Drosophila melanogaster: one gene and its partners. The protein of the gene in region 1 interacts with the protein of each later gene in a pairwise test. Each region holds a gene or a part of one and is shown on either strand. Other genes may lie near its edges. The genes, in order: Lcp65Ag2, CG16978 and CG2082.

What was found.
Region 2: the proteins of Lcp65Ag2 (region 1) and CG16978 interact in a two-hybrid assay, tested with the Drosophila melanogaster proteins (one large-scale study listed by BioGRID).
Region 3: the proteins of Lcp65Ag2 (region 1) and CG2082 interact in a two-hybrid assay, tested with the Drosophila melanogaster proteins (one large-scale study listed by BioGRID).

The regions. Positions count from the first base shown.
Region 1 is NT_037436.4:6,132,475-6,135,731, reverse strand, and holds Lcp65Ag2 (Lcp65Ag2), read left to right. Parts: upstream 1-2,138; 5' UTR 2,139-2,199; coding exon 2,200-2,318; intron 2,319-2,379; coding exon 2,380-2,578; 3' UTR 2,579-2,742; downstream 2,743-3,257. Other genes in the region: Lcp65Ag1, read left to right, coding at 519-637, 699-897. UniProt on the Drosophila melanogaster protein: Component of the cuticle of the larva.
Region 2 is NT_033779.5:13,142,599-13,145,240, reverse strand, and holds CG16978 (uncharacterized protein), read left to right. Parts: upstream 1-1,618; 5' UTR 1,619-1,643; coding exon 1,644-1,934; 3' UTR 1,935-2,027; downstream 2,028-2,642. Other genes in the region: CG9928 (uncharacterized protein), read left to right, coding at 2,376-2,642.
Region 3 is NT_033777.3:5,768,758-5,773,566, forward strand, and holds the start of CG2082 (uncharacterized protein), read right to left. Parts: upstream 3,142-4,809; 5' UTR 2,945-3,141; coding exon 2,873-2,944; intron 1-2,872.

The DNA of each region.
Region 1 (3,257 bases):
TGAGACGGCACAGAAATGTTTCTTTTTTTTCGAATACCTCCAGTGACATTGATCGGTCGATCCGTGGGATCTTCTGAAGCCAAACTGGTGATTAGGGATCATTCCGGCGTGTCCCGCAGAATCTCACGCCAACTGTCCCGCCAACTGTCCCGCCGATTTATCCAGCCGCTTTCAGATTCTGCTTGTGAGATTGCCATCTATTGATAATTTTTCCTTGTTTCTCATGTGGTTATTAATATCAGCCGAGTATTTTTGCTAGTAACAACTGAGTTAGTGAAACCAATTTGAACAACTTGCCTAAACTTGTTGATTTGCATTTTGTGTTAGGTTTTAAGCCATTCAGAGATAGCTGGTACTCAATAATATACATTTTTCACATTATGTTTTGACTAATTCGGATGCGTTCAGCATAATCGAGAGGTTGTCCAACTATTTAAGACGCGCCCTGGCCAACAGAGAGCATCATTCGTCGCGAACTGTTCGATAGCCGCAGATCTAAGCACCAAACAACAATCACCATGAAATTCCTGATTGTCTTCGTCGCCCTCTTCGCCGTGGCTCTGGCTGCTCCTGCCGCTGAGGAACCCACAATCGTGCGCTCTGAATCCGACGTTGGACCCGAAAGCTTCAAATACGAGTAAGTTGCCTATGAGAAATGACCCAAAAGGATACCTAGCTGACACTGACTTCCTTCTTAGCTGGGAAACCTCCGATGGACAGGCTGCTCAAGCTGTAGGTCAGCTGAACGACATTGGAACTGAGAACGAGGCTATCTCTGTGAGTGGATCCTACCGCTTCATTGCTGATGATGGCCAGACCTACCAAGTCAACTACATCGCCGATAAGAACGGATTCCAGCCCCAGGGTGCTCATCTGCCCGTTGCCCCCGTGGCATAAGTTTTTCAACATTTTTAACTAGTTCCTTTTTAATGTCGGTTAACAGGAAATAGAAAACCTTTATTACCGTTCTTATCAAGGAGAACAGAATCTAAATCAATAAGCCTAAAGTGTTATTAAAGAAAAAATTATTACATGAAGTAATTTGTTTTAAATGGGAATTAATTGTAGCAGGAAATCATTGATCACTTATCTATAAACATAAGATAATTTACGTAAAATATAAATATACTTTTTAAGATATAGCTTTTCCCAATGGTCTATTTTAAAAACAATATTCAAAGTGCTATAGTTTTATTGTGATATAGAAGTTATAAGTTATAAGTAATAGAAGTTATAGACTTTTGAGAACTGTGTTTAGATTAATCAATCAATAATATTGAGAACTAAACCTGACATAACAACAGTTCATCATATATGATAAGCTGTTATCTAAAACAAGAGAGAATGCTTAGTGGAGTTCCCCGACTATCGGATACTCTTTACTCAGCTGGTGTGAATGCGAACGCGAAATTTCATAATTTTTCTATGATACCGATAGATATTATGAAATAAAATGAGAAAAAATTTAAAAATTGTTTAAAATGTGGGCGTGACAGACTCGGCTGCTTTAGGGCGTTAAAGTAGGCGTGGCAAAAAGGTTTTTCGCAAATCAATAGAAATTTACAAGACTAATAAAAGTATGAAAAATATCGAAAAATGGTTCGAAAATGTGGGCGTGGTAGTTTTGGCGGTTGTAGGGAGCTAGACTGGGCGTGGCAAAAAGTTTTTTTTTTGCAAATCGATAGAAACAAGACTAATAAAAATGTGAAAAAATTATCAACACGTTTTTAAAAAGGTTAGGCGTGCTTATCAGCATAAAATATATGAGTCCAAGTAAAAACATTTATTTTTGTTGTTGACTCTTTTTGTTTTTGTCAGTTCTGGGCACTTTTTTTTAGCTGCTATTAGTTAAACTTAATGCATTTGCCATGACTTCTTATGTTTTTTTAGCTCCAGTTAAATAGAAACTACGAGAAGACAGCTGAAAAAGGAATGCGAAACTATGCAAACTATATAGATGAAGATGTCCGATTTACATATCGTATAGGGCTTTTAACGATTCAGCTTTAGGCCGAATTCAATTTCACACATTTATCACATTTTGCTTTATACACTACAAGTTTGACTAGTTTGGCAGCGTTGGGCTCGGTCGTCAAAGTTTGTCCATCCATCTATATAAAGGGAGTACAACCATCAGAGGGCATCATTCGTCGCGAACTGTTCGAGAACCGCAGATCAAAACACCAAACAACAATCACCATGAAATTCCTGATTGTCTTCGTCGCCCTCTTCGCCGTGGCTCTGGCTGCTCCTGCCGCTGAGGAACCCACAATCGTGCGCTCTGAATCCGACGTTGGACCCGAAAGCTTCAAATACGAGTAAGTTGCCTATGAGAAATGACCCAAAAGGATACCTAGCTGACACTGACTTCCTTCTTAGCTGGGAAACCTCCGATGGACAGGCTGCTCAAGCTGTAGGTCAGCTGAACGACATTGGAACTGAGAACGAGGCTATCTCTGTGAGTGGATCCTACCGCTTCATTGCTGATGATGGCCAGACCTACCAAGTCAACTACATCGCCGATAAGAACGGATTCCAGCCCCAGGGTGCTCATCTGCCCGTTGCCCCCGTGGCCTAAGTGAAATTGCTTTGACCTTTAGCAATTTTAAAGCCATACTATCCAACTCCTTGTTAATAGCCCCAAACATTACCAAACCAATCCTATCCCTGTTTTCAAAGGATGGGAACTAAGTCAACCAGCACCACTTGTTAAATATTAAAGGAATTTAATTACCTGAACTTATGTGTGTTTGTTTTCATAAAATTCATAATTATTTTATTTTTCAGAAGAAGTCGAAATTAAGTTTTGAATACAATTAGCTTTTGATTAACATATGGGGAAGGTCGTAGTCGAAAAAGAACCGACTGATTATAGATATTCGAAGAATAGAAACTGGTCACAGCGTGTATACGTGACCGCTGCACGATTAAATGTTTGTAAAATACTCTGATATTTGATATAGAATACTCTGATATGTAGAATATTCCATGCTTGTTGGATTGCTGATTGATATTTTCTATTAATAATTAATGTATATACCAATAGTAGTGTACACAAAGCATTTGCTGAGGCTTTACTTATTCAAACATTAGATGATAATATGAGAAATGACAATGGCAAAATCACAATGCACAATAATAAAAAGTTCGAATACAGAACTTTATGCATCTCGACTAGAAGACATCGTTTAAACCTGAGTTTATATGTATATAGCAAATGGTGATCGTGTACTGTTTTTTATACAAATTTTCACCGT
Region 2 (2,642 bases), on another chromosome or scaffold:
AAATTTAAACGATTAGATGTCATTTTTGGTCATAATTAAAATCGAGTTATTTTTACAACTTCAGTATTATCAATGATATTGATCATTGAAGCTTCGAAAAGGGTATTTAGACATTGGCTGAAAAATATTTATTTTCCTCCTCTTTTTTTTGATTGACTTTGGTTTTTATGTTATTTGGTCGCGTTGCGTTGAAGTTGGTTTTGGCTTTGGACTCCGGTGAAGCCAGGGGATTTGGGGCTAGGGCTGGGCCGTCGTTTGGGTACGCTTTGATGGCTTCTAGGTGAAGGTCATTGTGTGACTGAAATGTTAATTTGACTGACTGTCGTACTTTTATGCCGGAGTGCCTGGGCTATTTCAGTTGTATCTTTTTAATGGCACTTGCTAAGGTTCTATACACCTAGAAGTGGGTATTCATGTCGGCTTAAAAACCACTAAACAAAACTCAAAACCAACTTTGATTTGTTGCGCCGCTGGTATGCGGCGATTTTTAAATGACTGACATTTGCTAGCAAGTCGACATAATATACAAAAGCATCAGAAAAAGTTTGAAATTTTTTAAAATATACATTAATTATAGAATTGAAGTTGAGGATATTAAAATAATTAAAAACATATTTGTGGTTATTATTTCAGTTGCCAGCAGAGTTTTTATATTATATAAAGAATTTTCTGAAACGTTTTAGAAATGACTAAAAACGATCCGTGTAACAGCTTACTTTGATTTCAATGGCGCAGTCTTAGACTCCAATGATGGCGATGCAAATGAGCGACATATTTGCAGACAAGTCCACCAGCAATTCGGTGAATGGGCGGGCGTCTGCTTCCCCGGAGGATAATGAGCTGCAGCCCCCGTGAATCGAGTCTGGTGGCCCATCTAATGGTGTTGTTCGCATGGTGGTTAGATGGTTGAATGCTGCAGCTACAGCAGCAACGATTCAGCACCGTTTTGCTGATGCGGCACACTCCAATGCCATAAAAGGGCATTAGCCTCGTGAGTAGATTGCATGTTTTTACCACAGGTTTTCGTGGATGGGCTCCCGTCTTTTGGGGTGGCAAAGTGAGGTTGTACTGGCAGCTGAGTGCGCGCGCTTTGGAAAATTGAATAAAGTGCCGGAGGAGCCAACGAAGGATTGAGGCAACGAAGCGGAGTAAAGTGCTCGATGCTGGCAGCCAAGTCATTTAAGGGTTGCCGGCAGCACTCACATCGGCCTACAAGGAAAGATGAAATACAGTCGCTTTGCTAAGTTTATAATCCCTTATTTAGAGTACATTTTCTGACTACCCAGCTAACTAACACAACTCTAGTAACTGACAGATGATTGGCATGGCCGAGAATTTTCTCAACAGACATAGCAATTATTTGGAATTAATCATAGACTTATTTGCATGACTGTTGATCCGCAAGTGGCAACGTGTCGTATGCGCAATGCTTGCTCTTGCTGGGTCTGCGATGATTCAGAGGGGACTCTAGTACCGCCCAACGCATAAATATGAATGAGGAAATCGAAGCAGCTTGCCACTTGGGCTTAGCCCAGACTGGATTTTCCAGAATTCCATTGAACTTATTACTGACCGACACGATCCATATAAAAACGAAAGAAATTGCATCTGGCTATGCAGTTGCCGGCGGTGCATTGATCAGCATGATGAGCCGCATCATATCATTGCTTCTCCTATTCGGAATCATTTGTGCTGCTCTAATTGCCGGCCATCCGCACGACCTTATTGAAGATCCGGAAGGTACCAATGATGCTTTGGAGGAATCTGGCAGTGGATACAACAGTGCCGAAGAGTTCATGAATGCAATGGACGAGCTGATCAGACGCTGGCAGGAGAACGATGCAGCTCATGAGAACTCAACTGACTATCCAAGTCTTGATGACGATGAGACGACTTTGGATTTTATGGATATTACCACCGAACCGGCTACTTAATATGGAATTATTTAGTAGTGCTGTAATGCTAAGTCATGCTATCCTATTGTCTGTAAATAATCTAGTTCTTCAATAATAATTATTAAGGGAAATAAAAGAAAGTTTTTAGAAATTTTAAAATGAAATCAATCAAGAGAGAATCAAGAGATCTTCATTTTTTGATAATGAATGTTGCCTACTCCGCAATTTCGATTTTAAGTACGCATTAAATACTAGTCATAGATTGAATTTAATAGCTCGTTTAGTATATCAATTAAGCTTGTGGTAAGCTGTGTTGCTGTTAAGCTGGAATTTCCCGCACTCACCTCTGTCTAAAAGTATACATATCACCTTTAAACCAACCACTTAGAACTGCTGATAACCCAGGGCAAGGCTATAAAAGCCCAGCTCAAGAGCCGACTGACATTCAGTCAACTGTAGCCAGAGCTAATCGAAAGAAAAATGCAATCCATTCTCCGACTGCTGGTGCTGTTTGGATTAATCTATACCGCGATCGGTGCATCGGGTATATTTCAGAATATAAACCTCGGTGGCGAAGGAGGAAGAACACGATCTTCAGGTGGCAACTTGGACTGGAGCGATAGTGTTCACAGTTCTGATGACGATAGGACTCTGAAGCTACTGGAATCGTTGGATAACAGTGGCAATGATAGAAATAATTGGGGCAACGATGCGGTGAGGAATTCTGGATTCGATACCGATAGATCC
Region 3 (4,809 bases), on another chromosome or scaffold:
GCATTAATCTCAATTAATATTCCGAATACCCAGTGGCGGGCGAAATGTTTCAATTAGCAATTGCCTGGATTGAATTCTGCAGGTGCATTGTGCAGGCCACATAATTGATATGATATTTAATTTCCCAGCTGATTTGGCACAGCAAATCCTGCTAATGTACACAAATTCGAGTCTGTATCCATAGTAATCATCGGTGGACTGTGCCATTGTGCAGTGCATTATAATTGGGACATAGTTACATATTTATTCTGCCCTAGTAGTCCGATTCAAAGATTGGTGGCAGGTGGATTTTCGGAGACTAAAACATTCAGTTGCCATATGTAGATGTGAACCATTTAATGGCTCTTCTAGACCAAGTAGAATTTGCCTATCTAGTTGAAATGCAATTAAATCCAGAGCGAAAAGTCACAGTCAGCATTTTGGAATTGGAATCGTTTTGACTTCTCGTGCAGGACCTTTTTGCCAGGCATTATCTAAGAGGAGCACAAGTTGGCCGCACTTTGACGTATACTTGATGGGATTTTTATGCCCCGACACTTTTCCAACAGCCTGCGGATGCCGTTATGAGGGCGGTGAAAATCTGGGTAAAAGTGTTTGAATTTATGGAAAACCTTGCAGGGGGAGGGGTGGGGGTCGGTTGCATAAAGGCAAAAGCCCCCAAGTGATGCGAAAAGTTGTGCAAACAAAATTCCAGCACACTTTTCTGGCGAAGCGACCGCATTGCCAGGGAATTTTTAATAGACACAAACAAATCACGCGGGCATGTAGGCCGGTGCTTAAAGCCACCAATTAAATGTTCTTTAAGTTTGCGCCCGCAGCCGCAGGGGGCAACGGGGCGTATGAGCAACCTTGCCTTGCAAACTTTGACACTTTGCCGGTGGCAAAGTTCTTACGCCACCGTTTCCCACTCACTTAACAATGCATAGAGGAAAAAATATGAAAAAAAAATTGAAATAAAAGGAGAAACGCGTGTTTTTCGATGCCTTCGAAGTCAACAAGTTTTCGTCTTGTGGACAGGGGACACGCCAGATGCTCCGGCGAAAACAAACTCGGAGGATGAAGAAACTTGGCTGGGCGGAACAAAGAACGCAAACTTGACCGAAAAGGACTTATATCCTGAAGTGTGAGTGTGGGCCAGCACAAATTATGGGAAGTTTCTTCAAGGCGGCCAATGGAAGACCCGCGGGCAGAATGTCGAAGGAAAATGGAAAAAGTCGTGGGAATAGTGGTATAGGTCTGGCCCGGTCTGCAGTATCATGTATAATGCATACCCCTATATGGACAGCCGACTCCCCATTATGCTTTTCCCTAGTTAAATTCCATCGCATTCAGATTCCGCTTGAGGGGATGAGCGAGCCCTGCGGAAAACTGGGAAACAAAGCGAGTCGGACAGGAATACAGCCATATATCGCAGAGATTTACTCCAGCAAAGCCCTTTAGTCAGCATATTTGGATTGAGATTGCAATGCAGGACAAGAGGGTGTGCACCATGTGGTCGGGGTGGAAGTGGCGCAGCTCACATTGTGGTCAGGATTTAATGAGCTCAGTCGAAAAGGAAAATGGGGAAATTATGAGCCAGCCACGAGGGCCAAAAGCGAATAAGTGAAAAAATGCTACATAGCAAATATTTATAAAGATTTAATTTTTATATTCCAGTTATTAGTTTTCTCCGCAAATTATCAAATAACATGTAGCATTTCAACAATAAATTAACCATATTTCAATGAAGTGGGTGCATTCACTTTAACTTTCAACTTGGATATGTTCCTTTATTTCCGTTTAGAGTCCGCACCACTTTGTCGCCATATAATTAGCTGCCTAATAAAAGAGGGAAATAGCAGGCCAATAAGACCGAACGAACACCATAATTTTGCCCATTTGAGCACCTAGATTCGTTTTGGCCCACTCTACGCAGTTGCTGTGTGCCAGATGCGACCGCAAATGGCACGTAAAAAGAAACATGCAGTTCCAGGCTAATGGTTGAGTCGCCCCCATTCCAATAGCCACATCAACAGGACCACACAAAGAGTCGCACAAACAACGACATGCAGAACGACAATTATGCAATTTTTATGAGGCGCAAGACAGAAAGTATGCTATGCCCTTTGAGCCCAGTTCACTGGGCACCGAGGGCCAAAAAAATAAAAAGCAAACAGCACCCAACTACAAAAGGTAACCCCGTGCCAAAAGGGGAATTCGAGGTCACCAGCATATGTTTCTACAATATATTCTGTATTCTGTTTTCTCTATTCGATCGCGGTGGCTTAGTCTGGCTTAGCATTTCGCGCTCACCTTTTTTAATTGAAGGAAGTAAAGGGGATGAATTTTAGGTAGACTAATTCCACAAAGCCCTCGAACTGTCACGAAATTAGTTGATTACATTTTCAACACCTTACGTTTTTTTGATAGTATAATTTTCCATTTACGTGCTATTTAGCCCTTTTCATGTGGAAGAAAAACTAATAGCTTTTTCGTGGTACAAGTGCTCAGAAATATTTCATAATTTCTTAATTTAGGTAGGTTTTTAAATATTATTCAGAACAACTTGGTCTTATAGCAAACTAATTCACTCGTCTGCAATTTCATCACTAATTTCCGTGCAAATATTTATCCCGACTTTTTTGAAAGATTATACCACTCAGACACTTGAGATGTTAACAGAAGTAGTCGCTCGCACTTGCAGCTCGGCGTGTTACGAATATTACGTATACGCACAGAGAGAATTCTAGAAAAGCGCATTAACGCACTTGACGGACGGGAGTGATGTGGAACATGATATTATGGTGTTCTGATGCTCTGCATCCCAAATCAGCCAGGATGCACTTTTCGAAAAGCTGTCCTCCTGGCGGTAAACTGCTATGTCGGAACTCACGCTAATCTTCTCGGGGGCAGCAGCTGCTGAGGATGAGCCGGCGCCGTGCTTGGGGGTTCCCGGCTTCGACATGGTGTGGGATTCGGGCGACGGTAGCTTCACTTCACTGGGTTGCTCAAAGGAACTGCGGGACACACAAGCGTGGCTCGAACGGGGCTCTATCAGGCGCACAGCAGCACTCGAGGATGGAAACCGAAATCGGATGCGAATCGGGCGGAACCGCGTTTCTGAACGAATGCGCAATCTTCGAACGCCTGGCGACGACTGGGAAAACTGGCTTATCATGGGAAAATGCTACGCCATCGCCATCGCCGGCGTGAAAAGCCGATCTTTTCCGAGGCGAAACGAAGCTGAGCGAAACGGGGAGCAAAACAAACTGATGATGAGTGAAATGGCCAAGTGAAATCGCCTTCTGCCCACTCGCTCCCCCTCTACCGTTGTCTCTCTCGCTCTCGCAGTGATGCTGCCGGGGAAAAAGAGGCGGTTGGGGGTGGGCCAAGTGTTGAAATGTTGCCGTAGGGCAGTTTGTTGGGAAGGTGTTGCACAGAGCGTGGCCAGATGGTTGCCCACCAACTACGCATTACGAAATTCGACTCCCAACTGAGTTTTGTGTTGAAAAGTATTAAATTTATATCACATTTATATCACATTTAGATATTGTGTTTCTGGTCCTTTGACTTTGTATGCGTCAATAGTAGTTTCTGGAATCTTCAATGCATTACGATTACTTAAAATATGCATCTAGACAAATATGCTACCTATAAAACCTAGCTAAATACAGCTTATGAACTATTTATTTGTTTGTGGTGTAATTTTATAGTATTTTTAGCTTTGGCAAAGAGTGATTCTAGATACCAACCAGAAAATATAAATATTTCTCATTCTCATTTGTTTACGTCAAGCAATCCCAAATATTTCAATTACCTCTAAAGAACGTAATTGCAGTTTAAAATTCAAGGGAACATTCACATATACGTTTCTTTCCATCTGGCAACGCTCGCACTGCAACATGCACGCACACACGCGCACCTACAGCTTCTGCCGAGAAAATTCCGTTGCCTACTTTTGGGCGCGCTTAGTTTGGCGCCCACTCACGTTCGTCGCTGTAAGAGTGTGTGTGTGTGTTTCTGCTGGCCTGCGTTTGTGTGGGTGTCTTGCGTGGGTTTATGTAAAAATCCTTTTTGTCTTACTTTGTTTTCGGTGGCATTGTTGAGCAGACTCTTTATTGTCGGCGGGCTCTCGCCTTTGCAGCCCTTCTTCTCTTGTTGCTCTAAGCCTTTTTGGCCTTTTTGTTTTGATGTGCTAATTTGTCAGCGCGCGGGAAATGCGCAAATCCGTCTCCCCGGACGACCCGGGCACCCCAATTCCGCCCACTTCTCTGGCGAAATGCGCATTAGAAATATGCGTGTCCTAGGTCAAGCCGGCTGCGGTTATGCCACGAGGGGCTGTGCCTGTGGGTGGGGGCGTGGCCGCCGGGTCGAAATTTCTGATATGGATATGGAAAAAGGGTCACAGAGCATAGGTGCAGAGGTGCGGTGCGGCCGGTACGGTGATATGATGGAATGGATTACTATTATGTGCTGACATCGAAGGCCATCCCCTTCGCAACTACCGATGATGCAGCTCGAAAATGCTGGCTGGCCAAAGTGAAAGTAATTTAAAGTTGGATGAGAAAAGCGCAAAATGTTGAAGCCAATTAGGGGTAAACCAAAAATATTGGATGAACTGAAGGCTTGGATACTTGATACTCCATGCGATTTTAAATTCTTTCGATTTACAAGAGCACAGAAAGAAAAACCGTTGAAGATATTTTAAAAATTTCAAAAGGTTGTTTCATTTCAGTTAAATGAACCATATTAAATGTATGTTTTACGAGAGCAATTCGCTGATCTTCTCAAAATTTGCATGCATTTCCGCCAAGGCCATAAGCAGATATG